7 linked regions of the Oryzias latipes genome follow. The protein of the gene in region 6 purifies or fractionates together with the protein of the main gene of each other region. This does not show direct contact. Links are inferred from orthologs where the notes say so. Each region holds a gene or a part of one and is shown on either strand. Other genes may lie near its edges. The genes, in order: cwc15, eftud2, snrnp200, snrnp70, bcas2, prpf19 and u2af2.

Region 1 (4,241 bases), on a different chromosome or scaffold from region 6:
CCGCTTAAACGAACACGGGTCCAGGCCGTCTTAAGTTTGCCAGAGATCATCTGATTGATCCAGAAGAGTATTGGGAGAATGTCATTAGATCCAAATGGAACTCTGGTATGAACACCTCTTGCATTTGTTAGAGTAAGCATGCTGAGGTCAGAACATAGCTGGCTCTTCCAGCATAGCAATCATTCCAAACACACTAAAAATGAAGCTTTTTTTTTTTAACAAAAAGTTGGTAAAATGTCTGCAAACAGGTGCAGAATTCTAATTGAAAGGCACAGAAAACAAAATATGAAGTTTAAGTTACCAATACTTTGTCCAGTCATTTCACTAGTTAATTATTGTACAAAAATTCCAGAGTTATGCCTGATTTTCATTAAATTATTTATAAATTGATTAATACTTTTGTCATTTCTCAGACATTTCTTAAAACATTGGAGGGGAGGGACAAGTTTGGTGCAATCCAAATATTGTTCAGTATTAAGGGGAAAAGGGGCAAATCATGTTCTCTCTTCTCCCTTTCATTTAAGAGTGTATTTTTGAGCCTAAGAGGTGTTTTAGATTTGTATTTTCACAATTATGTATTGATATATCTTTGGAAAAGAATAAAATAAACTCATCAAACTTAAACAGCAAACACTGAACAAATATAAACCAGTGTTTCTGTAGTTGAAGTTAAAGCCAAAGGCAGCAAAGAGTCCAACGGCACAAATCCAGAGAAACATCCTTTTAAAGAGGAAGGCATATTATCTGAGAAGAACATCTCAAAACCTAAGGATGAAGACTCATCAGGTCTAAAATGGAAAAAGACAGGAATTTTACATCTGTTACAAGTGTTTCAATTATGTTTAATAGAATCTACGTATCAAGACTGTTAAATAAAGTTAAAAATAATGTGTTCAATTTGGAATAAACTATATTTAAAAATCATGTTGTGATGTTAATGTTCACTTTGAGTGGAGAAATTAAGCTACAGGAAGACACTGAACCTGATGCACATTGCCCCATGGTGGCCACGTAAAATGTTTTGCAAACCCTAATCGCACATTTCTACAGTAATTCTACCGGTTACTTCAAAAGAAGAGACAAGATGACTCCTCGTAAACACTTCCTTGTTTACACCAGTGCTCAAAGGTTTTATATGTTTTTCATTTTAAATGTGAGTGTTGGTTTGCTGAAATCAGTAATAGACATTTTTGGCTGTAATGCTTTAGAATTCAACCATGTACCCTGGAATATCACCACAGCATTTTGAAAAAGAAAGGTGTAACAAAGCATTTTTGTGCTAATTCTTTCTCCTTTGGTACAATATAGTAATTTCTTTACGATAAATATCAGATTACATTTGAAATGAGTAATGCATTTTCCAATTCTTTTTAAACGCACCAACAGAATCGTATTCTTGACGCATGCGCAACAGCAATTTCAATCCGGAAGTGACGTTCTATGGTATCCTCTTTCCGCTAGCCGTGTAGTGGAATCGTGAGTATTTTTTCCAAGTCAAAGACGTTTTTTTACAGATGTTTTTTTGTTAAAACGGTATAAATATGATAAATGTAGCCATACATCTCGTTTGATTAGTGTGCAGTGAATCTTAAAACAAATAAGTTTTCTAAAGAGCCCAAAATGAGTTTTTTGTCTTGTCTGAGTGTTAGCATAATCAAATTTGGTGGCTAGTAATACCCTTTATAAGTATTAAAGTCTGTTTAATCGATAAATGTATGTATATGTTTTGTTATATACAACTGATGTTACCTTGTTTGTTCTGCGTTTAAAGTACAGTAGCTAACTGAAAATAACTGTACTCATGTTTGACAAATACCGTGTTGTTGTTGAAGCAGGTTAGGGATGACTACCGCAGCAAGACCAACGTTTGAGCCGGCGAGAGGAGGGAGAGGAAAAGGAGAAGGCGATCTGAGTGCCTTGTCCAAGCAATATTCCAGCCGAGATCTTCCAGGTCACACCAAGATCAAATACAGGTGGTTTTTAGTTCCTATTAAACTCTGCTGCGACAGCTCAGTTGAAAAAGAAAGCGATTGTTTGAAAGAAACATATTTAATCATGTTAAGATTCTCGAAGATTCAATCTGAATTATTTGGGAAATGGTCAAACCGGATTGATTAAATTAGTCTTTTTGTGCTATAATTATTAAAAAGTGGAACATAAATCTACACTTGATTAAATGTCTACATGTATAATGTGTTGGGTACAATTAAGCTAACCTCACGTTGGAGCATCACATGAATCAGTTTATGACATGGGGGGGGGGGGGGGCATGTGTGCATTTTCTTGTCTATTTAGTGTCTCTCCATGACCCTTAAGAAAATGTTAAATAATTTGCTCACAAATATCTTGCATCTAATAAGTCATTGCTCAGTATTAAAATGGTTATCAACTAAATTGTATAACCATAAAGCTTTTGTACATTTGGAGTACATCATTTAGTATTGATAATTCTTGATGGTTTGTTTGCTGCAGGTTATGTTTAAATTGTAGCTACAGTGTGTAGGAGGGGTGGTTTGCATTTACCAATTGTGCAAGTTCTACAAAAAATATTTTTACAATTTTCGCTATATATTTTTTTTTAATATGCATTCAATCTCTCACAGTTGTAGTGTATATGATGGAATCATAGACCTCTCATCTTTTTAAATTAGACAATTTGCTAAATATGTTACTGAGAAATACTTTTTCCCCCAACTGTACATGTTACTATTTATCTCATGAGTGGTTTTTGGAGTTTGTAGTGGGACTTAGTCTTGAAAATGCTATGATCCCTTAGACAGCCCACTCAGGATGCCCCCGAGGAGGTGCGTGCCCGTGATTTCCGTAGGGAACTGGAGGAGAAGGAGCGTGTAGCAGCACGTGAGAAGACCAGAGAGAGGGGACCAAGAGGTTAGTCTCTATCAAAATTTTAGACTTACTGTTTTTGACACACAAGTATAAACCAAGCAAAGTATGTATTTTTCTGTAAATGCAGTCTTTACATTTTTTTCTCTCCAGAACACACTACATCCTCTTCATCATCTTCATCATCATCAAAGAGGCCCAGGTTGGATCAGATTCCAGCTGCTAACCTTGATGCTGATGACCCTCTCACTGATGTAAGTGTCTGCACTGATATAATAAAGAAAACATTTCATCAGTACACCTACGGCTGGGAGATGAGACCTTTTCTCGCTGTTGCACTTGACATGATCTGAATAGATATTGATATTTTAGTGCTATAAAACTTTCTCTTTAAAGACTGTAAATATTAAAATTAGCAATAAAATGCCTGGATTGACTTAATTGGGGAAAAATCACTGTAAAGTTGACTTTTAACAAACAATTTCTTTTGTACAACTTCTCTGCTTTGGACACATTAAACTTGAAACATCCCAGATGGTTCATTTGTGGTTAATTTTAGCTGATCAGACCACCTAAAAGAACAATTGTGGGTAAACTTAAAACTTAGTTTTTTCATTCAAGAAAAAAAATGTACACAAAATTTAAAAAGTGTGGCAAACAAACTTGATTTAAATATGACCGTTGTTCCTCCTCTGGAAAAATTGAGCAGACTGGGGCTCTCCAAATGCCAGGCTGGTGTATTTAAAGGCTAAACTCCCTGCATTGCCTCTTATGGTCGGTCCCACAGTACAGCTCCTGAAGCTGAACCTCATCCACATCTACAGCTACCAGCAACACATCCAGCACTGGTACCTCCAACAAGGTGGCATTAGTTAAACTGATAACTGTAGCTGACTTAAAAGTGTCCAAGTGTGCACACTACAAATAAAGACTGATGTACTCTCTTGTAAATGTCTTTTATTGAGAATACGTCTGAAAATGTCAACTTATTTAAAAGTCATTAAACAGTGGAAAAGAACGTCAGCAGTGCATGGGGGCTGTCACCATTCTGCCATAGTTGTGCTGCATGAGGCCATTGCAGCCTTAATCCTCTCTAAAATCCTTCCTCTTCACAGGATGACGAGGATGAGAACTCTGATGAAGATAGTGATGATGACGACACTGCAGCTCTGTTGGCTGAGCTTGAGAAGATAAAGAAGGAGCGAGCCGAAGAGCAAGAACGCAAAGTAAAACATTTGATCCATTTTGTTTTGGTACCTCTGTGTTTACAGTCAGCAGCATGACTTTGTTCAAACACAATGTTTTAATAATCAAGGAAAAATATGATTCTTGATGTACAAAGCCTTGAAATAGAATCTGTTTCCATTTTACGTAACTCATATTTTCTTGGTTCTTTC
Region 2 (4,024 bases), on a different chromosome or scaffold from region 6:
AGAGGATGTCTGTGTACCGGAGCTTAAAACATAGAAAATCACGTTAACCTCAAACCATTCAAGTCGCAATTCAGTAGAATCATTTTCACATTTTTTTGTAAAATAAAGGAAAAACGTACATCTACATCATCCCTCTTCCGGATTTCTGGGTGTGTCTGCTCAATCAGACAATCTACAAAACAAGTCTAAAAGGAAGAAATGGGTTTGTTAGATTTCTCTGAGGCAAACACAAAATGTAAACTCACAGAGTTTAAAGTCAGAAGCCTCTGTGAGGCAGCGCGGTCTAACCTTGCCATGATGAAGGTGACCACAGAGTGTGACATTTCGGATCAGCTCGGGACCATCCATTAGATCTGCAAGAAATCTGCAAAAATGGGGAGGAAAGAGAAAATATCTTTAAGTACAACAAATATAAACTATCATGAAGACAAAAAAGAGAGAAAAAATATGCAACGTCTTTAACTTAGCAGGAACATTAGGAATCCATTGAGATTCTTCAGAAGAAACTCACTCCATGTCGTAAACTGTTGCAGGCAGCTCCTGTTCCATCAGAGCAAAACGCCTGTGCTTCACCGGCTTGATGATGGGCTCTAGAAAGAACAAAAAGACAAAAATGTTCTTGTGTTAAAGAGTTGCAATAAAATGCAGAGCTCCTGTTTTCCAGCTATGAAGAAGTAGTTTCAGACTTGATCAGAATCAGATGTTGCATACCAATCAGGGATCGGATATTTAACCATTATTTTGATTAGCACTATATATTTTAAGCTTATTATTTCAACTAAATGCTCTTCTAGAAGTCTGCATATCACGAAAGGATCACAACGTTTTGTTGCCGTGAAACACAGCAAAATACAACAAAGGTTTGAGTAGGAGGTGCACAAAGACAGTTCGTTAAGTTAGCAAAATATTCACAGATTTGGAGTTTGAGCTCAATGACTTTTAATAAACGTTTAAAACTGAGAGCTAATGTCTCTATTGGTTCACAGAACCATGACAAACAACTACCTGCAAGGGCGTTTAAAAATATTGGGGATTTTTTAAATGTGCCCTTTAATGAGAATTCAACGGAGAGACGACTGCTAAGGGAGCGTCTCCAAAGTGCAAGCTGCAGGAGAAGGTGATCAACAAAACAACAAAAACTCCATAATCTGTCAAAAACAACCAAAACGAAATGACTGTTACGTGGGTATGGATCATGAATACACATCATTATTTTAATGCTGAAATAATGATTTTGGAAGAAAGCCGTTCCTCATTTTTAGGATATTTTAATGGATATGAATCGCATCAGATCAAAAATGTTCATCTGCTCGGAAGCAGATGCTGAATCTACGGTCCCCAAACTTAATCATTTAACCAATTATTACCTATTTTTAATAATAAACAGTTAACTATTTTTTAACTTATTATTTAGTTATTTTTTTCTAGTTGATATTTGCATTTTTTTGCTTGATTGTTCAAGCTACTTCACAAAACTGCTCTATTCAAGTGTTACTACAAAAAAATTGGGGGCAACCGGGATTTGTTTATTATTATTATTTTATTTTTTATGTTATACAAAACTATTTGATCAGCAGATTCTCAAAATAAAAAGACTCAGAATCAGAACAGGGTCAAACAAATAACCTTATCTGAACATCCCTAGGAAAAATGTCAGCTATAAAGAAATATTAGGAGTTGATGATTTGACACAATTTGTGAATAGAGCCCAAAGTTTTTTATTACTATCCCTGAGCTGAAAGTCAAAGGTTCACTTTACCTGTTAAGGGTTGTGTGTCTTCCTCTTGGACAATAGTTTCCACCTCTGGCCCATAAACCTCTTCTGCAGTCGGATAATACTTCTTATCCTCATGGAGGACCACCTCCATGCCTGGGGTATCATCCTCAGCATCTGCAGGCTCATCTTCATCATCATCATCACGCTGTAGAAGCAGATGCACAAATGAATGCTCAGGAAACCTATACATTTCACAAAACTAAGAGGGAAAGCCAAAGAAACCTCATCTAGATCTCTGTCCTCTGCCTCCACGTCATCTTCATCATCATCAGAATCCAGCTCTGGACCGATGTAGTTCCCAAACTCGTCATACAGATCAGCCTCCATCTTCAAATATCTAAACAATTACAAAGAAACACTAAAACATGTATGTAACAACAACAAAATGGGTTAAAAGTTTTGAAAGCAATAGGAAACCCTAATTTGTCAGACTAGTTAGTACGTAGCAGTGATCGTAGCGTTTTAAAGCTTGAAAACTCTCAATGGGTAATTAAAAAAATAGAACGTATCTTTTTAAAGGTTTAACATCTCCAACTGTATTTCAAATATTTGCAAAATACGTTTATTTTTTATTTTCACTTAAAAATAAAAAAATAAAAACATTATGAACCGGTTGTGGCCACAACAGCTAATGCTAATAAGACCGCAATTTGAACATTTAAGCGACTCCTGCATTTAGATTATGAAAAAAGTCAATCAATTGATGAAAAGTTTCGGATTTTATCGTCTTTGCGAAAGTTTATTGAGCTTTCTCGATCCACGCAACAAAAAACAAGTAACCAAACTAGCTAGCTAGCGTACAAATGAATGGATCAACGTCTGAGATACGTCACACCGTAGACAAAGACATAATTTGCTGAGACCACACATAAAGCTGACTGCACTTACCTTTATTTAAGGATAAAACTACTGCAAAATATTTATACAGCACAAAATAAAACCCTGTTCTGAAATTAGGATAAATTATTGTTCGGTTAGCGCCATGCGCATGACAAACTACTGCCGCTTTTCTTCTTCTACTAACACGTCACAACACTTGAGGATCGCGTACGCCCCCTAGCGTATGGATGTTTTCAAGCGCCAAACCAACAGATCCAATCAATCAAACCTACTCCTTTTGTAACTTTACTAGTGTTATAATATGCCGCTGATAATGCAGAAATCTGAGAATGTAAAACGCAAACATGCTTTGAAAATGTAGATGTTGCACTTGCAGCCACTGTGTGCAACAAGGAACTTGTGTTTGGTTGAATATTTTTTAACACTCCTTGGTAATGAATTCTTGAGTGCTGAGCCTTTTATTAGCCCTTTAATCTTTGCCAGATTTGAAATAATTTAAAATATAAATTCCTTGGAGTTATTATTGATGGCAAACTAAGCTGGAAAGCACGTGTTAGATATGTAACTCATGTGACATATTTGTAACTTATTTTAGCATATTTTTATTACTGGATTGAAGTATGAAAAACAGGAATTCAAATTATTTACAAAGCTAGCTTGATCACAAATACAATGTATTAGGCCTTTAGGCTATAGTCAAAAGAACTCAAACTTTGTGATTTGGCAGAATACACTGCAGCTCAAATATGTCCAATGTTCAAAGCAGAAAAAGAATTAATAACAAAAATGATACAAAATATTGCAAACAGGTCAAAAATTACACATTATTCATATACCATTGGCTGCATGTGTGACGGGTAAATCACCCCTCCAGCAGTCTACTGAGTCTAGGTCTCATGCTCAGGTCTCGCGGAAGGCAGATCGTGTGAGGGGGCCGGATGCGTCTCTGGAGAAGCGATTGTCCCTTCTTGCAGATCTCCCTATGCGGGGAGATTCAATGAACTGCGGATTTGCATGTTCTTTGCGTGGTTTATTCATACTTCTTCCATGGTTTTAACGTGGTTCCTTCGTGATACATCTGTGAAAGTCTTCTGCAGAGACTACAACTTTTAGTGGCAAAGACCACAACTTGTCTTACTTTTTCCACGTATATTCACACATGACATATAAAAACTGGTCTTATGTGAATAAACATGGAAAAAGTAAGAGAAGATGTGATTCTTTGTGAGAAAATTTCACAGCTCTATCATGATTTTCACCTTTGGACAATGTGCAAATTGTACTTAGCGGCAGTGGGACACAACCTTAAGCCAAACAACATTCAATTGCTACTACGATTGTCTCTTATCTGACACTTTGGTCACTTCCAGAAAATATTTCGCAAAGTCCTTCTTTATAATCATTCTT
Region 3 (3,573 bases), on a different chromosome or scaffold from region 6:
TTTTCTCTGAAGATGCCATCAAGAGTTTCGTGTTGTTCTTGTTTCCTGCAGTCAGTGATGCCTCGACAGATTTTGGACCTGGAAGACCTGACCTTCACCCAGGGGAGTCATTTCATGGCTAACAAACGCTGCCAGCTCCCAGACGGCTCTTTTCGCAAACAGCGCAAAGGTTATGAAGAAGTTCACGTTCCCGCCCTGAAACCCAAAGCTTTCGCTGACAACGAGGTTCGTCTGTTGCGTCTTTTGTTGTTAAGTACAAAACTTTCATCTTTTAAACGCAGCAGTGTCTGAAATTTTGGTTGCTTATCTTTCATCAGGTACTTGTTTCCATCGACAAGTTGCCCAAGTATGCTCAGGCTGGGTTTGAAGGTTTCAAAACTCTAAATCGAATCCAGAGTAAACTGTTCAAGTCTGCAATGGACACAGACGAAAACCTTCTAGTGTGTGCTCCCACGGTGAGTGAGCCCTGCACAAGCCAAAGGCGGCGGGAAAGTCATCCTGAACTCCGTTGTCAACATTAATCCTGGTATTGTTTTGTGTACAGGGAGCTGGTAAGACCAATGTTGCCCTAATGGCAATGTTAAGAGAAATTGGAAAGCATATAAACATGGACGGCACGATCAACGTGGACGATTTCAAAATCATCTACATTGCACCCATGCGCTCGCTTGTACAAGAGATGGTGGGAAGTTTTAGTAAGGTAAGCTGCATGCCCTTCCTTAAAAGCGTTGATTTCATGCATCAAGGAGTATCGCAAGCTTCAGGAGAGGGTTTTAGAGGTGACGGCTTTCCTTTTTTGCAGCGATTGGCAAGTTACGGCATCACCGTGTCTGAGCTGACAGGAGACCACCAACTCTGTAAAGAGGAGATCAACGCCACTCAGATCATTGTCTGCACCCCAGAAAAGTGGGATATCATTACTCGGAAAGGGGGAGAACGTACTTACACTCAGCTAGTGCGCCTCATCATCATTGTAAGTTGATTTAGAAAGGTATTATTCATTTCATTTTTGACAATCAGAATAACCAAAATAATTCGATATAGGATGAAATTCACCTGCTGCACGATGACCGTGGTCCTGTGCTGGAATCCCTGATCGCAAGGACCATTCGCAATGTGGAGCTGACCCAAGACGATGTCCGCCTGTTGGGTCTCAGTGCCACACTACCCAACTACGAAGATGTGGCAACGTGCCTGCGCGTGGATCCTGCAAAGGGACTGTTCTACTTTGACAACAGGTTTGTTTCAAAGCAGAAACTGCATGTGTGTGTATTCTCTTAACTCAATTCTTGTGCTTTTTTATTTTTGTTTGTAGTTTCCGCCCTGTGCCCCTGGAGCAGACTTATGTTGGCATCACAGAGAAGAAAGCCATCAAGCGTTTCCAGATCATGAACGAGATTGTTTATGAAAAAATCATGGAGCATGCTGGGAAGAACCAGGTGCGCCTTTCTGTTTGTTTTTTGTCATTGAGACAAACATTTTAATCTGAAATTCCTTTAAATCCTGGCTCCAATTTATCACTTTTAACGTTTTACTTGCTCCCAATAGGTGCTTGTATTCGTTCACTCCAGGAAGGAGACGGGCAAGACGGCCCGAGCCATAAGGGACATGTGCTTGGAGAAGGACACTCTGGGTCTCTTTCTCAGAGAAGGCTCTGCATCCACTGAAGTGTTGAGAACTGAGGCCGAGCAATGCAAGGTAAGAGTGTATCTTGAGGCTCCACACTTTTTTGTTTTCTTTCCCCGAATGTTGGATTGGTGTGGCTGATTTATCTTCTCTCTTTTAGAACCTGGAGTTGAAGGATTTGCTTCCGTATGGTTTTGCAATCCACCACGCTGGTATGACCAGAGTGGACCGTACCCTGGTGGAGGATCTGTTTTCAGATCGGCACATTCAGGTTCTGGTGTCTACAGCCACTCTGGCATGGGGCGTCAACTTGCCGGCCCATACTGTCATCATCAAAGGAACCCAAGTTTATAGTCCGGAGAAAGGCAGATGGACTGAGCTCGGAGCCTTGGATATTCTGCAGGTCTGTATGAGGTTTAGTTTTTATGGATGACCATTTCTGTCAGAGTTTGTACAACTCCCCAACAACAATAACTGAAGTGAATGTCCTTTTTTTCTCAGATGCTTGGTCGGGCTGGTCGTCCCCAGTATGACACCAAAGGGGAGGGAATCCTGATCACGTCCCACGGAGAACTGCAGTACTATCTGTCTCTGCTCAACCAGCAGCTTCCTATTGAGAGTCAGATGGTGGCAAAACTACCAGACATGCTAAACGCAGAAATTGTTCTAGGCAATGTTCAGACCGTGAAGGTGAGTGGTGGACTTGCATCAGAAAATTAAAGACCGTTTAAAAAACATTTTAAATGGTTTGTTTTACTGTTTCGTGTGTCAGGATGCGGTGAACTGGCTCGGCTACACCTACTTGTACGTGCGTATGCTCCGCAACCCCACCCTTTATGGAATTTCCCAGGATGACCGAAGTGCAGACCCGCTTCTGGAGAGGCGCAGGATGGACCTGATTCACACAGCAGCCAATGTCCTGGACAAGAACAGCCTCGTCAAATATGACAAGAGGACAGGCGCTTTCCAGGTATCCAGAGCTGGGCTGAGCAAACCTTTAAGCACCTCTATGGTGGAAATAAATTGGTAAAAGTCTGACCAGAAGACTCTAATGGTATTTTTTGTTGCATGTTTAAAGGTGACAGACCTGGGACGCATTGCCAGTCACTTCTATATCACTCATGACTCAGTTCAGACCTACAACCAGCTCCTGAAACCCACTCTCAGTGAGATTGAGCTCTTCAGAGTCTTTTCACTTTCCTCAGAGTTTAAGAACATCAATGTGAGAGAGGTATGTCCACTCATGAAAGTCAGACCTCCTTCAATTTCCGCCCTCCAAGAAGTTATTTACAACATGTGGGATAATTACAGAAATGTTTTCTTTTAGGAAGAAAAACTGGAGCTTCAGAAGCTACTGGAGAGAGTTCCTATTCCAGTGAAGGAGAGCATTGAGGAACCCAGTGCCAAGGTAACACGCATGACAAACCTCTTTCAATTTGAGCAACATTTCAGAATTTCTTATACATTTTTAGAGAGTTTAGATTTTATTTTATCTTTTGTTTGTGAGTTTTTATCAACTTGTAATTTTATTTCAAAATAGTTCAAATAATTCTTTTCCACTTTATTGTTTCAGATTAACGTCCTGCTGCAAGCATTCATCTCTCAACTCAAACTTGAAGGCTTTGCTCTCATGGCAGACATGGTTTATGTTACACAGGTGCTGCAAGACTTTTCTTTTGTCGTTTCAGACTTTTTCATGCCCTCTTATACTTTTTGTCTTCTTTTTAATGTTGGTGTTGTTTTTTTTTTTTTTTTAAACAACGATGATTTATAAGCTAAAAATGTTCCATTAAGTTATTGGCTGTGGTTACGTGTGCAAAACGTTTAATCGAATCAAAGATCAGATTAGAATTGAAATCTGTACACGATTATAACTGTTTACATATGGCACACTTTTGATCATAATAAATCATTTTGACATGCGCAGAACTATGTAAAATACCGGAT
Region 4 (4,144 bases), on a different chromosome or scaffold from region 6:
TCAAACAAACAAACAAACAGAAACAAAGACACACTTAAGACACATTTAAATATAGTGATTATTAACTAAATAGTCAAGTAGAAAGTGATTTAGTGCTAGGAAAAAAAGGAGTTGGAAAAAGCAAATTCATATAATCTCACTCCTATTGAGTTATTTTGTGTGAGAGTTTTGCAGTTTTGGATGATAACGCTCCACCACATGCTGCCAGAATGATCACAACCAGTCTCTAGGCTCATATGGTCTGACCAGCAATGACCCTTGACCTGAACCCCATAGAGCAGGTCTGGGACCAGCTGAAGCAGAGACTCTTTTGTAATAAAATTAAGGGTATTATATTAGTTTAATCTGTGTTCCCCCACACTTCAATACAAAATGTAAAGTACGGTAAAACCAAAGAGCAATATAACACATGCACACTCTGACATGGTAAAATATACTTGGATTTGTTCAAAACAAAAAGGGTCTTGGTTACTTTATTTTTTACATAAAATATGAGATTTCCATGTTCATTTGTCATCCAACATAACCCCTAAAATTTAAATTCAGACACCTGCTCTATATTTATGTTGTCAATGGATAAAGCCACTTCTGTTTTTTCTTTATTACCAAATACCATAAACTTTGTTTTTGTTAATTATAATCAAACCACATTTTAAGTTTCATTTCCTTTTTAACACTTTTAAGTTAGGGTTTTAGATTATCCCTGAACAGAGAAATTTGTCTTCATGTCCAAATAAAACAAACTGCAACAACTTAGAAATACCCCAAACATTTATAATTGAACCTTGTGGAAGTCCACAAATAATATTCATGAGATCAGACTTATTACCTCCAAACTGCACATACTGTATTGTCTGTTTTGTAAATAACTGGTGGGCGATTGCTCTAACCCCATACGCATGCAGTTTAGAAATCGAGATAGAATGATCTATGGTGTCAAATTCCTTCTTTAAATCAATGATAACTTTTAATGTATTTTTCTTTTTGTCAATTGCTGTTGAAATTTCTTCAACTACTTTCATTGTAGCAAAACCTGTAGACCTATTAGAACCAAACCCATAGTGATTCTCACTTAACAAGTTATTTATTTTTTTAACAAAAAAATAAACTTTTAACAATGTCAAAGGAAACTTATATTTATTTCAATAAAATTCAGAGCAAAATGGGAAAAATCACATGGAAATCACATTGTCAATAATAAACTCATTGGACGGCGTCCTGACGTCATCACGTAAGTTACGTCAAAAGACGTACGTTCACGCGGCGGTCCCCCCCGCCATTTTATATTTTCAACAGGCCGAGCAGCCGCAGTACGCAGCCAGCTATCTCCACGTTGTTTTCAGCTCCATTTCCAGCATTTTTATCTTCACGGAGTCTCTTTTTGGCGGTTCTACGTTGAGCCACCGAACCCGCGGACAGTCCCGCTCCTCCTTCAGGTCCATGAACTAAAAGCTGCTGGACTCTGGAGGAGAGAAGGTGAGTGTAAGGGCGCAGTTAGTGGTTAGCTCCATGCTAACGGGAGCGCTACATCCCACGAGCGGAGCAGACGCCTCCGGCTGCCTCCGGACGGCCAAACTCTTAACTTGTACGCAGACCATAACGTGTACTACTGTGGGAGGGGGTTCCTGATGTTCTACTTCTGGATGCATGAAATGCGTTGAACGCGTCCCCCGTCCTGTGGGGAAGTGAACAATAAGCGCGTGAAGCTAGCTAGCTAGTACGGGTATTACGGCTAGCTAGCTAGCTAGCTAGCTGCCCTGACAGCTAGTTTCGCTGCTTCATTGTGTTGCGGCAGATCCGTGTCTGATATCATGCATGTTTTCCTTATCGATCAAGTGAAAGATGACGCAGTTCCTCCCGCCGAACCTGTTGGCCCTGTTCGCCCCCCGGGACCCGATTCCGTTCCTGCCTCAGCTGGAGAAGCTGCCCCACGAGAAGCATCACAACCAGCCGTACAGCGGCATCGCCCCCTTCATCAGACACTTCGAGGTGAGCGTCGCTGTCACGTGCGAGCCTCCGTCCCCCCGATGCCTCTGTCTCACCTTCCTACTGTTTCCCACCAGGATCCTAGAGATGCCCCCCCACCAACCAGAGCCGAGACCCGCGAGGAACGCCTGGAGAGAAAGGTGAGTTTCCTCCCCCCTTTGCACATGTGCTCAAATACAGAACCTGATGGATAAATAAACGGTTTATCTCTGCTTTCATCCAGAAGATTTCATATTTGCGTTTGTTTTGCTTTATGGCAGCTGGCAGTAGCACAGATTCTGTCACATCAACCCAATGAATCATGGGAGATGTAGTAAACTCTGTGACACTGATGCAAATCTCCGGGCTTCATTATTGGATGCACTTTTTACACGGTCTGACACCGGATCCTGCTTGAAGCTACACTTCCACCATTGTTAGCTGGTATTTTGTCAGGGTGAGGAACTGGGGGTGTTTTACAAACTTTTTCCAAAATAAGAGCCATTGGCCTAAGTTGCTGCACAGTAGTGGTGCAGACATTTTTTTTAATCAAAGTGTCTTAAATAGGAAGTAAAAGTCTTCTGTGATCTGTAGTACTCCCAACTGAAACCTGGGCGTATTTCGATGAACGTAGAGCTAATATTCTGGCGATGGAAAATGTTTTTTTTTTTAGAACAAATAGGTGAAATTGAGTAATTTCTCATGGCACACTCAACCATCTCTTTACTATATAAACCTCTAACCTGATCCTGTCTGTGCTGCAGCGTCCACCAGTCGTTACTGTTTGGATCTCTGATTGTGCTGCGTAGATAACGATGGAAGGCATGTATACAGAAAATTAGGATTAAAATTGCATTTGTTAGTATTGTTGTTTGAGAAACTCAACGCCTGGATAGCTCCTTTATCGCTCGCCATTTTTGTTGCACAGATAATGTTATGTTGGGGTTGTAACGTTTCAGTTGAGCGTCTTGAGCCATAAAGGAAATTTATTTGTGAACTTGTGAATTGACTGAAGCAGGAGTTTGGCTGTGAAGCACAGACCTAATGAATGCAGATTCTCAAAGGAGGGGTAGTTGAATTACAGTCCTAACTCCTTCATTCAGCATTTTCTGCCTCGGTGAAAACCTCTCAAGTCTATAGAAATATTATACCAGGCAGGAGCCCAGCACAGGTGCATGCTGGCAGCAGACAAGAAACCAAGTGCGGGATTATGTCAGCTCTGTGCTGATGCTCTGCTGTTGGAGGCTCTGCGGTTGGCCGTCACCATTTTCTTTTCTGTTTCCAGAGGAGAGAGAAGATTGAGAGGCGACAGGGAGAAGTGGAGACAGAACTGAAGCTCTGTGAGTTTGTCACTTTCTTCACGCCGTTCTCCTCAAACGGTGAAAAGCTTTGTGCTCATCCTTCCTGTTTGTTCCATGTCAGGGGACCCCCATAATGACCCCAATGCTCAGGGGGATGCCTTCAAGACTCTGTTTGTGGCACGAGTGGTGAGTATTTGTCTTGGTTCTTCTCACTCCTTGTTCACATCTGGTAATTAAAACCTTTTTGTTTCAGAATTATGATACGACAGAGTCCAAACTTCGCCGTGAGTTTGAAGTCTATGGCCCCATTAAACGGGTAGCTATTGATTATTATTTTTCTGTGTCCAGATTTTCTTCAAAACATGAACCCTTTTGTCTTTACAATGTGAGAAAATTCTCCTGGCTCTTCAAAATACTATAAAAAAAAGTAAAGAGCCGTGCGTGAAGCGTTTTGGCGCCGCTTTGTGCGTGTCGTCGTGCGCTGACTGCATGTCTGCTGCCTCCGCTCTGCCGAGTCTCACCAGGAGTTTTTCTTTTCAGATTTACATCGTCTACAACAAGGGAACAGGGAAGCCCCGCGGCTACGCCTTCATAGAGTATGAGCACGAGCGAGACATGCACTGTGAGTACGGCTGAGGCATCGGCCACCAAAGCCAGTCTGTGTTGGTGTGTGTGGATCAGAGCACTGCTCGTCACTGATGCTTCTGTAAGGAGACCAGCAAACTGAGCTCTGCTCACCAGATCCATGTCTGCTGCTCGTCTGACGTGTGTGTGTGTGTGTGTGGGGGGGGGGGTCTGCTCGATGTGTCGCCGGTGGACTAACAGTTGCGTTTAAAGGGGGGAGGAGTCATTTATTGGAGGCGTCGGGGTGGAGTAAC
Region 5 (3,728 bases), on a different chromosome or scaffold from region 6:
TTATGCATTTGACCAATCAGATATAGCCCTTTACGTTGTTGACCAATCGGATGGAGCTCTTACGTTAGATGTTGCCCTACTAATTAGACGAGGGTCATTTGGAAGATAAATTTAAGGTATTTTGACTCTTATTTATACTAAACATTTGAAGGGAAATGGAAATGTTTTTGTTGTTTTTGCTATTTGTTCATTTTTTGCAAGTTATATCTTCATCGCAATATTGATCACTAATATCGCATATAGCGAGTTTTCCTCATATTGTGCGGCCCTACATACTATAATGCATACACATACCAGTACTTCCCCTTTCTTGGCTATTTACTCTTGGTTATTATTTCTGTATTGTTAAGATGAAATGCCTTCAACGTAAACTTATAATTTTATATACATTATTTAAAAAAAAATATTGAAGTGATGATGAAGTATTTTTACAAGATTGATCACATTTGTATCAGAAGAAAAAGCTATTTATATATTTTTTTAGAACAACAACAAAAGAAAGATAAAAAAAGCATTTATTTGTTGAAATTTAATATGAAACTCTTTAAAGGTTTACTGTAGTGCAGTAATAGCTGAAACCTGAAGTTTGTTACACTACACATCTGCAAGAAGCTCCTGGGGATCTTCTATCAGTCTGTGGTCGCCAGTGTAATAACCTACGCTGTGGTGTGCTGGGGGGGGAGCACCTCAAAGACAGACTTCTCCAGGCTGGAGAAGCTGATCAGGCGGGCTGGTTCTGTGGTTGGCACAAGGCTGGACCGTCTGGCTACTGTGGCAGAGAGAAGGACACTGAAAAAACTGACAGGTATCCTGGACAATACCAGCCACCCTCTGCACATGACTATCGGTAGCCAGAGAAGCACCTTCAGCAAGAGGCTGCTCCTCCCAAGGTGCGGGACTAATAGACTGAGGAACTCCTTTGTCCCCCGGGCCATCAAACTCTTTACCACCCCCGGGCCATCAAACCACTTAGGAGGGGGGAGGGGGACAGAAAGGAAAGGGAAAGGGCCTGAATCACTTTTTTTTTTTTGTATATACTGTTTGCAGATATTTAAATTGTTTTTTACTGTTCTAATCTTCCTCATTTTTCTAGTCACTGTGCTGCTTTTTCCTTTTTCCTATATGTATGTCAACCAGTGCTGTATGCGATGGAGATGTCAATTTCCATGCGGGAACCTCCCAAATGGATAAATAAAGTTGTCTATCTATCTACTAAGCTGCAGTTCCATTCCTCAACGCAAGAGGCGACAATCACGATTAATACAACACCGTTGAGACTTTTATTTCGGAAAGTTTTGACCGGAAACGGAAGTTTCTGATTAGCCGTTTGGAGTCTGTTAGCAGAAAAGGACTTTCTTTCTTTATTTTTATTTTTTTTTACTGGGGAGCGAACATGGCTGGAACGGCCTCGGTCGCTGGCGAAGTGTTTGTTGATGCGTTGCCGTATTTTGATCAAGGTTATGACGCACCAGGTGTCAGAGAAGCGGTGGGTAAACAAGAATGCTGCTTTAAAAGCTAGCTAACTTATAGCTAGTTAGAACTGTTAGCTAGCGATGCCGCATGGTAACGCGCCGTTCAATGTATAGTTGGCCAAACCATTATTATTATGATCGCCTGTATATTTCTTTAGATCTTGTCATTATAGGTTTCTGCTTTGAAACTATACAAGTTCATAATTTAGGATGAAAACCTTCAAAGCCAAAGCTGCTGTTTACCTCATCGGGTAAAACAACAGCTGAGGGGTTTGAAACAGCCGGCAGATCTGGAGAACCAGGGTTTGGTGACACTAAGTTGACATGTTAGATCATCAGGGGTTGTGGCTCATTTTTAAATCATGTTTGTATGAAAAATGGAGAGAAATCATTTGTACTTGGCCCTTCAGGCCGCTGCGTTGGTGGAAGAAGAGACCAGAAGGTATCGCCCAACTAAGAACTACCTGAGCTACCTGCCCATGCCGGAGTTCTCGCCGTTTGAGGTGAAAACCTGCAGACATTTGAAACTTGATTCCTAGTCTGGGTTGGCTAACCGGTTTATAATCCTTTCCCGTTTTGTTTTGGGTTTCAGACAGAAATCATGAGGAATGAGTTTGAGCGATTAGCCGCTCGACAACCAATGGACCTCCTCAGCATGAAGAGGTAAAAAACACACTCTGTCTGTCTGTACAATATTTCTGTAAATGTAAAAGAAAGAGAAAGTTTAGGGTGATTCCATAGAACGATTCTATTCTGCTGTGGAGGTATGAGCTTCCAGCCCCCACATCGGGACAGAAGAACGACATTACCGCCTGGCAGGAGTGTGTCAATAACTCCATGGCCCAGCTGGAGCACCAGGCCATCCGGATCGAGAACCTGGAGCTCATGTCGCATTATGGAACAAACGCGTGGAAGGTCTACAACGAGTGAGTGGCGGCCTGTGGGTCTCACCCTTTGGTGTCTGACTCTTCTGAAGACTCAAAGCTAATGTTGTCCCTTTTCAGCAATCTGGCCTTCCTGATTGAGCTGGCTCAAAAGGAACTCCACAAGTTCAGGTGATTGAGGATTGGATCATACATGCCTGAAAAGATCCAACGGTTACCATGGTTACACATTTCTGAACTTATGCCGGCAGGAAGAAGATCCAGGACCTGAACTGGCAGCGCAAAAACGATCAGTTGGCTGCAGGCGCCAAGCTGCGAGAGCTGGAGTCCAAGTAGGTTCTTCTTAAGTTCTGGTGTTCTCGTGGATGAGGGGTGATGTCTGACTCTGGTTCTGATTCCCGCCAGCTGGGTGTCGCTGGTCAGTAAAAACTATGAGATCGAGCGCGCCATCGTCCAGCTGGAGAACGAGGTGGCTCAGCTGAGGCAGCAGCAAGGGGAGGAGAACAAGGAGAACATCCGACAGGACTTTTAGGAGTCACCTCACCGGGATCCGTTGGATGGATCTGATTCGGTTGGTTTGGACGACTCGATGACTGCTGGAGCGTAGCGGGTCACTCGACTCCAAGACGGATGATGTTTGAAAGGCGTCGGTTTCCTCTGATGGAACCGTTGGGTCTTTTGTGTTCAGTTACACACAAATCATGGTTTGAAACTCATGATCGATCGACATGATCGATGTCTTTGTAGCTTGTTGTACAGTTTCTAAGTTGTGGTGGAGAAAAAAAATCCTGTTTTTGATTCAACTTTTGTTTTTTATCGTTTTAATAAAATGAACGTTTCATACACATTGTTATTTTTTTCAGTCTTTTACCTGTAAGTCTCTGAGCTTCAGAGCTGCAGCTGATGAGCTGGAAGCTAACAGATGGGAGCAGCTGGATGGTTTGTCATTCATCCCTCTTGAAGAACAGTGAAACCTAAAGTCTGAGGCCTAGAGTGAGGCGGTTTTGTGTCAGATCCCCTGTCTTCTGTACATCCACTGAACTTTGATCTCAGAAATCTGCAGCATTTTGTGCTGATCCATTTTCAAAAGTCTCAGCGTCTTCCATGACTTCCTGGATGAGTCTTCATCTTTGTTGTTGGTCAGTGGCACAGAAAGGTCACAACACATTAACTCACAACACATTAACTTACCACACAACACATTAACTCACAACCCAAAAACTCACAAAACATTAACTCACAATGGAAGTAAAGCTGCAATGGAGGTGCTTTTATCCTGAAATTAATTAGTGTATATATATATATATATATATATACACATCAAGCTCAAGGCCCCAACTGACAGTGTCCTCAGTGAATGTCTCAGGCAATG
Region 6 (4,142 bases):
TATTGTTTGTCACTGCAGGACTACAGTCACACCCATCCACACCCTGCAGCTTATTACAGTTACCCTGAGCATCCTGGAACACCAAGAAAGTGGAGCCCAAGAGCGAGCCCTGCTCACACTGTAAGACCAATGAACGGAATCACAGAAGCCTAAACAGCTGAATAGAACTGAGTGTTTGAACATGTGGGTTTCATTTCTAGGATTACACTCCTGTCACGATAGGGGAACCAAGTTCTGAAAACCAGCAAGTACAGCAACGGACAGCTGGGGTCTCGCCCAGGCATGACAGAAGCACTGAGGTAAAACTCTGTCAGCCTTTTTTGGCTCATGTTGACATAAAATCAAAAGAAATAAAAACTACCCATGTGCCCCCCCCCCCCACCCCCCACCCCCTGAATTCCCTCTAGGAGAACAAAGTGAATGAGAATGAAGAGAAGATTTCCTTTCCTGTGCCTGGAGCAACAGACTGCCTCCACTCCTCTGAGGACTGCGCTCAGTACCAGATTAAGAAGGATGGAGATGAAAAAAGGTGGAGCTCAGAGTTCTTTTCAACATTGCCACTGGACACAGACACCTCTGAATCCTGCAGCGTTTACACGTCAGAGAAACTGGACTTTTTATAAAACAGGTGCCAAAATGAGAAAAGAAGGACATTATAGAATGAACAAATAACAGTGAAGGACATTACTCAATGCAAGTTACAGTTCAAAATATTTTGGTAAACATAATCTTTGGATGCATGAATTTAGCATTGCATTTTCTGTCTCATGTTGCAGTGGTGGATTGTACTCTTAAGATCTCTTGCTGTTACCTACCTCCAGACCCTCAGGGCCACTGTTATCTGCACTGTGTTTACTGAGTGTCACCCTGTTTGCAAGTGTTGTATTATTTCTAGAGCTGCATAGAGTATTGACACTAAATATATATATTTCATACTCACTTAAACATTCTTCCACAGTGTTAATACATTTATAACCCAAACAACAATTATTGAATTAGTTATGATCTTATCTGTAACAGTGTAGTATTTGTTGCAGGTGTCATTCCTTTCAACTCAATGCAACTGTAAAGTGCTGTGAAATGTGCTTTTCCATTTGGTCTGCTAACCTTTGAACTTCATGAACAAAACATAAAATATTTCTATAACAAAAATTTAAAATAAACACGTGGTAAACAATAAATCCGTTTTATCTAAACACACGTAATCCAATTTTTAGTTTCAGATTACTAGTTTCCTGCTAGACACAGTAATCCAACGCATTGTTCATTTTAAGCACTAGGGGGCAGTGTGGAGACAACGTTCGAATTGCGTTTAGCAGACATTTCACGAAGAAGAAGAAGCTGGCTCATTTTATTGAGGCTATGAAAGGGCATAGCTTTTCTTAGTTTCAATTCAGTCATTATCGGTGCACACTAGCGAAACACAAGGTTGGAGTAAGCATATATTACTTTCCAGAGGAGACTATTTACACAGCGTTGGGAACATGTCTCTGGTTTGTGCAAGTAAGCTAAGTGAAAACCTTTGAAATGTGTGTGTTTAGCGAGGCGCCACGCAAATGCTACTAGTAACTAGCTAATGTAGCAGTTAGCGGCCATCAATGCCGCCTTTTATATGGAATTGCTTCCGTTCATTTTATGTTTGTTGCTTTTATTTACTTTTTAAAAAAGAATTTACTGATTTAGAATAGTCTTTCAAGCGGTTGCCACACCTTTATTTCAGTCTGCAACGAGGTTCCAGAGCACCCGTGCATCTCTCCGGTGTCCAACCATGTGTTCGAGCGCAGACTGATAGAGAAGTACATCGCTGAGAATGGGACGGACCCGATGAACGGACAGCCCCTGTCCGAGGAGCAGCTTGTGGATATCAAAGGTAAACGACACATCAGCCTATAATGGCGCAGGTTCAAGACCTTCGTCTTAAAAAGCAAATATCATTCATAACATATTGCATCTCTAAAGCACGTCAATTTACAAAATTTAAATAAATATATAAGAAAATTAAGCAAAGAAACAACGAATTTATGAAACCAAAACTATTGGAAAAACAATTTTTCACAAAGTATTTAAAAAAAAATGCCAGAAAGTTGATCAAAAAACAGCAGTAACAAATGGTGTGGGGGGGAAAAGTACTTTTTTGTTGTTTTTAAAAAATAGAGAAGGTCATAATAACATATTTATTAAATATCTATAGTAAAAAAACAAAAACTAATACACTGACACACACGCCTAACCTAAAAATATTGTTGTAGTATATTTGCAACACTTAATTAGTGGGCCTATAATCATGCTTTTCTTAAGCATTTCAGAGTAAACTATATCCATATAAATGACATATATTACCTTTGGAACACTAAAGAACAAATTATTTATGAAATATTAGTTATTTCAGCTCCTTTTCCTACCTGGAGGTAAGACTTTCGATCTCTGAGGCACTGGCTTTCGCTCCTTCCTTGTGGTTGCCGCCCATTTCATTTTGTTAACTTAGAGCTGGCCTCGCCAGTGTGTCTGCGTTTCGCCCACAAAAACAAACAAAATCCAAACTTGTAAAGATGGATGTATTGTGCATATAAAAGGTGGTTTGGGGGGTCTGGGTTTAGAGGAATGCTCAGAGCTTCGTCAATGGATCAAAATATGGCTTTGGGGTCGTTTTTCTTGAGGGCTTAACATTATGATTCACTTAAAGCTCAAAAAGTTGATTTTGCATGATAAGAAAACCTAATGTGGATACAGTGATTCTATACGGCTTTAGAAAATGTCTGCTTTAATTTCTTTGTAGTTACTCATCCTATTCGACCAAAGGCTCCATCTGCTACTAGCATTCCTGCCATTCTCAAGTCACTTCAAGACGAGTGGGTAAGTAGCATCAACGTATACAATGTTTTTAGTCATTAAAATATGAATAACAGTTCATTTTTACAATTGTGGCAGAATGGGATCATATCTTGTCAGTGGAATTGTCATTATTTAATGAAGAATGTGTTTTGGTCAAACAAAACGTCATGATCTGCGTTTGATGTGATGGGTTCCTTCTGGAATCCGCTTTTCAAAACGACCCGAAGTGGATTTTGAGAGATTCTCTGGTAAAAGTAACCTGACCCATTTTCTTTTGTGAATTAGGATGCTGTGATGCTTCATAGTTTCACCTTGAGGCAGCAGCTGCAGACGACTCGCCAAGAACTCTCTCATGCCCTTTACCAGCACGATGCCGCCTGCAGAGTCATCGCCCGCCTCAACAAAGAGGTCACTGCTGCAAGAGAAGGTCAGTGAAGTTTGCGTCAAATGCTATCTTACAAAGTGATTTTGAATGAAGAGTGTGTTTTGTTTATTCATAATTGGGGTTGTCTAATTGGCTCATTTGTTTGTCTTTTTTTCCAGCTCTTGCTACACTTAAACCCCAAGCTGGACTGGTGGCCCCTCAAGCAGTCCCTGCCTCTCAGCCAGCTGCTGCAGTAAAATTTGATTTATTTATTGAATTATTTTCCTTTAAAAAAAAGGCTTTGTATTGACTTTCATAACTCATCTGTCTAATAACTGTCAATATTGTGTTTCAGGGTGCTGGTGGAGAACCCATGGAGATCAGTGAACAGGTGGGAATGACCCCAGAGATCATTCAGAAGGTACGGCTTTCTTTAGTTTTAAAAACCATTCTACTTTGTAAAGTTTGTTTGTAGAAAGATTTTGTTCCTTTGGTCTATTTGACTGTTGTTGTGTGTTTGCAGCTTCAAGACAAGGCGACCATCCTCACCACAGAGAGAAAGAAGGTGCAGTATTGACTACAACCTAACAGTTTGTGGAGTCTTTATCTGTCTTGGTAGCGCCCAGTTCACCCTGTGTTTTTTTTTTATCTACAGAGAGGAAAAACTGTTCCAGAGGATTTGGTCAGAGCTGAAGATCTCAGCAAGTACCGCCAAGTTGCTTCCCACGCTGTAAGAAGAGATTCTGGAGAATCCAGAGGATGTAACTTTTTGTTTGGATTGCTTCATATTTGTGGTGTGACTTTGATATTTCCTGTAGGGTCTGCATAGTGCCAGTGTGCCTGGTATTCTGGCTCTGGATGTGTGTCCCTCTGACACCAACAAAGTGCTCACAGGTAAAGTGTCATTATTTTAATGTTGATTTAGTTTTAGGTGATTTTGTGTGCT
Region 7 (4,145 bases), on a different chromosome or scaffold from region 6:
GGCGGCAGCACGCCGTTCACAACAAAAAAAAAAGGCAGAAAAGTTGTTTTCCTTGCGTTTCCTTCAATAATGAAGTTTAGGTGTTTGCCTTGGAGGGAGCTACTGCTGATATTTTTTGATGAGAAGTTGGCAATAGACACATCGTCACCTGTATGTAAAAAGACAACAAAATAGGAATTGCAAAGCACTGACAGCTTATTATTTGACATTTATGAAATGTTGTTGGTAAAGGAGTGAATACGTTTAATTTACTATAACGCCAAAACGACCAACTGCCATCACAGCAGACAACACTCACACAGGATGGCAGCAAAAAATGATCAATCCATCATTACAGTTCAATGTGACGAAACACTTTGAATTATGCAAAGACATGTGACCATACAGCGTGGCAGAATGTTCTAAAAATGTTCCCTTTGGATTATTTTGATGTGGAAAAACATTAGTGGGATGAACTTTATGAAAATAAAATGTGAATGGATTTTCCATTAATTCTTGTTTACTTGTTTGTTTGTTTTTACACTTGATTATCTTGCAAGAAATAGAAGGAATCTGGAAAACTTCACCTGCACCGTTCAGTCTCCAGGTGTTTATCTCTAAGTATCACTGGTTGAATTTTTGGCTAAAGATGTCCTCGATCGAGTTTAGGCCAGTGAATCGGATCAACTCAGATCATTCAAAATGAACCAATATTAACTATGAATCATATCAGCAAACATGAATTATGATATGAATAAACACCATGAATCGTTACATCCCTACTAGAAAGACGAACTCTAAGAAATTAATATTTTGCATAACAGGGCCTGATAGAGCTCATCTAAACATGATCTGTCCTGCCTGTCTGTGTGTAAAAAATGGGCTATTGCTTGATGAACCGTAAATCATTCAAAGTATACAGCAGGATGCTGACAATTCTTCTGAATCTATCCGCAGTGCTTAGGGCTGAGTTTTGTGTTGATCTTTCTTAAGGATCTATCACTAAAATCCAGTTTGTAGTTGTTTAATTAAATTGTGTAAATGACCGTTGATTGAAACACAAAAGCTTTAAGCATAACATTTAAAATCTACAGTAAGTTTTGGATATTTAACTATATTAACATGTATTTTTAACTGAAACACGTCGTTTTTAAGTTCATACATTTAGAAATATTCTCCCAATAACCATTACAGAGAAAGTCACATGCAGGTGTTCTGTTGTTTTAATCAGAATTCAATCACAGAATTGTCTCCATGCAGCTCCAAACACAAGCCAGAACCACACGACGTTCTTCTACCGGAAACGCAGCGTTCATCAACTTCCGATGTCACGGGGTATCTGGGAGTCGGAGCAAAAAAGCGGGCACAACAAAATCTTTGCTGTTTTTGTAGACTTAAAACAGCAGAAGGCGTAAAGATTTGGATTATTGCGTCACATAAACACATATTGTGGGCCTGTGACTAAGCTGGATTCGCTTTGGGCTTCGAAAATAGTCTCATTTATTCGGATTTCGTAGCCTAGCTAGCAGCTGAGCCTCCTCGGCGGTGTGGAGCAGCAGGCCTTTCTTCTGGACTTTGCTACAAGCTAGTTAGCTGGCGTTAGCGGGCTAACTTAAGCGAGCACGTTTTTCCTTTTTCCGTATTTGTATGTGTTACATTTGAGCAAATACCACGTCACTAATGTGTGTGATACCACCTATCGTTTGATAGGTTTGTTTTTGAGCCGTGTTTTTGCTAACCGAGGTTAACTTTCCGAAGCGCTATCATTGAAGCGCTTGAATCTCAAAGTGCTCACTTTCTTGCTAGCTTAAGCTAGCCTCCGCCAACCGAACAACGCAGTCTTCGAAAGCGTAGTAGGTTTCTATCCAGAGATGTCGGATTTCGACGAATTTGAAAGACAACTGTCTGAGAACCATCAAGGTAAATGGACTAGTTACACAATTAACAATGATTGCAAAAGAGGTACATGTCATTTTTATCTCTATGGTTAGCACGTCGCGGACGTGTCTGTTTAACTGGCCTATGATCAAATAGCCTCTAAATGTACAACGCAGCTTTACAAGTTTATCGATGTTTTCCTGTAATCTGGCTTTCGGTACTGTTGTATAATGCTATTAACATTAAAATGTTTTCAATTTTGTATTATCTTGAACTCCATCGTGGTATTATTATGGCATGTCCGATTCATGTGGCGTGTAATAATATTTAAGCGGTGCTTTCTGTCATTGAATTATCATTCAGCCGCTCGTGCTCGATAGTTCCTTTTTACAAGTTCAACTGTTTATCTTTATACATTCTCTACTGCAGTTTTTGCAATAGTCCTTTCAGTTTCATATTGTGTTTATGCTACTGATACAAATTCTTGCTTCTTTAATATAGCTGGTTTCCTGTACTCTCCTCTTTTATCTTCCTTTTTTTCCCACCTATCTGCAGATGCATCGTCTTGTAGCATGATTAACATAAAAATGTACTTTTAAGAGAAATAACCTCATTTATGCACATTTTCCTTCTACTTGATTACTACTTGATTTATCTTTTCACTTTGTGTTCATACCTGTAAGACCATTTATGAAAATTAAAATTAAACATCGAGAACATGTCTAAATTCAGCTCGCTTTAATTTGCTTTTATGAACAATATTTCTGGGGTTATGTTTTTTAAGAAGATTTTTGTTTTAATGAAAAACACTTTATACTTTTATACTTCATAGTTACTGAGCACCGCTCTTTTGCCACAGAAAGGGACAAAGAAAACCGGCACCATCGTCGTTCTTCATCCCGCAGCCGCAGCAGAGAGAGGAAGAAGAGGAGCAGGGATGGCGGGGAAAGACGCAGCAGGGACCGCCGTGGGGACAGTAAGGAGCGGAGACACCGGCGCAAGTCAGTACATCTACACCAATCCTCCTGTTTAAAAACAAGCTGTTATGTGTAAAATCTCTTATCAACTGTCCAGCAATAACATGGCAACGTTAAGTCTCTTTATTAACTTTATTGTAATGTCTGCAGTCTACATGCATCATTACATTGTTCACACAAATGCACCAGTTATGTATGTTTGTTCTGATGAGCTTTTGATTTCATTTGATTTATTCGTTTTTTTTTCCCTACTTCTTTTGAAATTAGAAGAGAATTCTCACTTGTTTGTTTTGAAGTGCATTGATATTCAAGTGTGACTGGAAATGCAGTGTTTTTTATTTTATTTATGAATCATAACTCAAAAAGTTTGTTTGATTCATATAAGAAATCTAAATCTCTTCCTCCAATTTGTCATTTCAGCTCGCCACCCGCCTACCCTCAAGAAAATACTGCAAGGTAACAGAAAACTTAACACAAAGCTGGCAGTTGCAGAAACTGTACATTGACACTCCTATCACTTTAAAGACAATTTACACATGTTCAAGTAATTTGTTTTTGGGTATTGTCCATTTTTCTGTCTTTTTTGTCACTTTTACTATGTTGAAATCGATGCAACCTTCTTTAAAAAAAAGTTCATTTTCTCCTAATGTTTATTTTTTTTTCTTCCCTCTTACAGCCGATCTCCCCATCGTGAAAAGAAGAAGAAGATCAAGAAGTATTGGGATGTTCCTCCTCCTGGTTTTGAGCATATCACTCCCATGCAGTACAAAGCCATGCAAGGTAACTCTTATCTGTTTCCAGTGTATTTAATTCACAAATGTGTACACATAACATGCTAAAGGCCTGTTCACACCGGGACGAATTTCGCCGGCGATTTTCGCCGACGTTTAACGCCTCGTGACTAAACAAAGGGCACGAAAAAACGTGCACGCGTTAAAGCGTAAAAAAAAAAACGCCTCGGGTTCGTTTTTTTTTCGACGCGACGCGTCGCGTCGAAATCTACTCGACCAATGAGAATGGCACTTTTGCTCACGTGTCTGGAGCTTCTGAAGTTACAGTAAAACACAACTTGGGGGCGCTCAAACACAAAACTGCCTTGCTGAGCACACATACCAGCGAAGAAGATAGACGCCAAGTAGCGTCTACACAGCCGCGAAGCAATAATGACGGACATTCTAAAATATCCCCGAACCAAGCACCAGTTGGAGCTACTGGTGCTTGAAATATTCATGTTTTCTTTGTTTGATTCTGACAAGCGTGTAAATACTTGCTCTCTTCTTCTGAGTGAAAAGCGACTTTAAGAAGCGTAAA

What was found.
Region 1: the proteins of prpf19 (region 6) and cwc15 purify together in Homo sapiens (co-immunoprecipitation; 4 studies listed by BioGRID and IntAct, with this or other methods). This does not show direct contact. The link is inferred for Oryzias latipes from reciprocal best matches to the Homo sapiens genes PRPF19 and CWC15.
Region 2: the proteins of prpf19 (region 6) and eftud2 purify together in Homo sapiens (affinity purification with mass spectrometry; 3 studies listed by BioGRID and IntAct, with this or other methods). This does not show direct contact. The link is inferred for Oryzias latipes from reciprocal best matches to the Homo sapiens genes PRPF19 and EFTUD2.
Region 3: the proteins of prpf19 (region 6) and snrnp200 purify together in Homo sapiens (affinity purification with mass spectrometry; 3 studies listed by BioGRID and IntAct, counting the BioPlex papers as one, with this or other methods). This does not show direct contact. The link is inferred for Oryzias latipes from reciprocal best matches to the Homo sapiens genes PRPF19 and SNRNP200.
Region 4: the proteins of prpf19 (region 6) and snrnp70 fractionate together in Homo sapiens (co-fractionation; 3 studies listed by BioGRID, with this or other methods). This does not show direct contact. The link is inferred for Oryzias latipes from reciprocal best matches to the Homo sapiens genes PRPF19 and SNRNP70.
Region 5: the proteins of prpf19 (region 6) and bcas2 purify together in Homo sapiens (co-immunoprecipitation; 10 studies listed by BioGRID and IntAct, counting the BioPlex papers as one, with this or other methods). This does not show direct contact. The link is inferred for Oryzias latipes from reciprocal best matches to the Homo sapiens genes PRPF19 and BCAS2.
Region 7: the proteins of prpf19 (region 6) and u2af2 purify together in Homo sapiens (affinity purification with western blotting; 3 studies listed by BioGRID, with this or other methods). This does not show direct contact. The link is inferred for Oryzias latipes from reciprocal best matches to the Homo sapiens genes PRPF19 and U2AF2.

The regions. Positions count from the first base shown.
Region 1 is NC_019872.2:16,000,700-16,004,940, reverse strand, and holds the start of cwc15 (spliceosome-associated protein CWC15 homolog), read left to right. Parts: upstream 1-1,376; 5' UTR 1,377-1,476; intron 1,477-1,832; exon of another isoform or gene 1,833-1,835; 5' UTR 1,836-1,842; coding exon 1,843-1,973; intron 1,974-2,776; coding exon 2,777-2,889; intron 2,890-2,997; coding exon 2,998-3,098; intron 3,099-3,959; coding exon 3,960-4,070; intron 4,071-4,241. UniProt on the Homo sapiens protein: Involved in pre-mRNA splicing as component of the spliceosome. Component of the PRP19-CDC5L complex that forms an integral part of the spliceosome and is required for activating pre-mRNA splicing.
Region 2 is NC_019866.2:5,489,235-5,493,258, forward strand, and holds the start of eftud2 (116 kDa U5 small nuclear ribonucleoprotein component), read right to left. Parts: upstream 2,820-4,024; 5' UTR 2,666-2,819; intron 2,136-2,665; exon of another isoform or gene 2,115-2,135; 5' UTR 2,105-2,114; coding exon 2,000-2,104; intron 1,923-1,999; coding exon 1,760-1,922; intron 591-1,759; coding exon 512-590; intron 365-511; coding exon 289-364; intron 186-288; coding exon 120-185; intron 23-119; coding exon 1-22. UniProt on the Homo sapiens protein: Required for pre-mRNA splicing as component of the spliceosome, including pre-catalytic, catalytic and post-catalytic spliceosomal complexes. Component of the U5 snRNP and the U4/U6-U5 tri-snRNP complex, a building block of the spliceosome.
Region 3 is NC_019867.2:18,372,829-18,376,401, reverse strand, and holds part of snrnp200 (U5 small nuclear ribonucleoprotein 200 kDa helicase), read left to right. Parts: intron 1-51; coding exon 52-225; intron 226-317; coding exon 318-455; intron 456-544; coding exon 545-700; intron 701-802; coding exon 803-973; intron 974-1,044; coding exon 1,045-1,238; intron 1,239-1,315; coding exon 1,316-1,439; intron 1,440-1,548; coding exon 1,549-1,698; intron 1,699-1,786; coding exon 1,787-2,029; intron 2,030-2,127; coding exon 2,128-2,316; intron 2,317-2,398; coding exon 2,399-2,596; intron 2,597-2,704; coding exon 2,705-2,857; intron 2,858-2,953; coding exon 2,954-3,034; intron 3,035-3,199; coding exon 3,200-3,283; intron 3,284-3,573. UniProt on the Homo sapiens protein: Catalyzes the ATP-dependent unwinding of U4/U6 RNA duplices, an essential step in the assembly of a catalytically active spliceosome. Plays a role in pre-mRNA splicing as a core component of precatalytic, catalytic and postcatalytic spliceosomal complexes.
Region 4 is NC_019866.2:24,780,026-24,784,169, forward strand, and holds the start of snrnp70 (U1 small nuclear ribonucleoprotein 70 kDa), read left to right. Parts: upstream 1-1,271; 5' UTR 1,272-1,476; intron 1,477-1,836; 5' UTR 1,837-1,842; coding exon 1,843-1,989; intron 1,990-2,063; coding exon 2,064-2,126; intron 2,127-3,250; coding exon 3,251-3,305; intron 3,306-3,387; coding exon 3,388-3,452; intron 3,453-3,519; coding exon 3,520-3,582; intron 3,583-3,806; coding exon 3,807-3,888; intron 3,889-4,144. UniProt on the Homo sapiens protein: Component of the spliceosomal U1 snRNP, which is essential for recognition of the pre-mRNA 5' splice-site and the subsequent assembly of the spliceosome. SNRNP70 binds to the loop I region of U1-snRNA.
Region 5 is NC_019865.2:942,911-946,638, reverse strand, and holds bcas2 (pre-mRNA-splicing factor SPF27), read left to right. Parts: upstream 1-1,289; 5' UTR 1,290-1,393; coding exon 1,394-1,486; intron 1,487-1,882; coding exon 1,883-1,975; intron 1,976-2,064; coding exon 2,065-2,135; intron 2,136-2,236; coding exon 2,237-2,398; intron 2,399-2,476; coding exon 2,477-2,527; intron 2,528-2,607; coding exon 2,608-2,688; intron 2,689-2,761; coding exon 2,762-2,888; 3' UTR 2,889-3,201; downstream 3,202-3,728. UniProt on the Homo sapiens protein: Required for pre-mRNA splicing as component of the activated spliceosome. Component of the PRP19-CDC5L complex that forms an integral part of the spliceosome and is required for activating pre-mRNA splicing.
Region 6 is NC_019868.2:15,898,544-15,902,685, reverse strand, and holds the start of prpf19 (pre-mRNA-processing factor 19), read left to right. Parts: upstream 1-1,320; 5' UTR 1,321-1,484; coding exon 1,485-1,503; intron 1,504-1,720; coding exon 1,721-1,870; intron 1,871-2,776; coding exon 2,777-2,853; intron 2,854-3,117; coding exon 3,118-3,259; intron 3,260-3,375; coding exon 3,376-3,449; intron 3,450-3,551; coding exon 3,552-3,617; intron 3,618-3,719; coding exon 3,720-3,761; intron 3,762-3,851; coding exon 3,852-3,926; intron 3,927-4,014; coding exon 4,015-4,090; intron 4,091-4,142. Other genes in the region: uncharacterized protein LOC101174031, read left to right, coding at 19-120, 201-299, 408-623. UniProt on the Homo sapiens protein: Ubiquitin-protein ligase which is a core component of several complexes mainly involved pre-mRNA splicing and DNA repair. Required for pre-mRNA splicing as component of the spliceosome.
Region 7 is NC_019874.2:19,813,296-19,817,440, reverse strand, and holds the start of u2af2 (splicing factor U2AF 65 kDa subunit), read left to right. Parts: upstream 1-1,275; 5' UTR 1,276-1,850; coding exon 1,851-1,899; intron 1,900-2,689; coding exon 2,690-2,858; intron 2,859-3,254; coding exon 3,255-3,290; intron 3,291-3,510; coding exon 3,511-3,614; intron 3,615-4,145. UniProt on the Homo sapiens protein: Plays a role in pre-mRNA splicing and 3'-end processing. By recruiting PRPF19 and the PRP19C/Prp19 complex/NTC/Nineteen complex to the RNA polymerase II C-terminal domain (CTD), and thereby pre-mRNA, may couple transcription to splicing.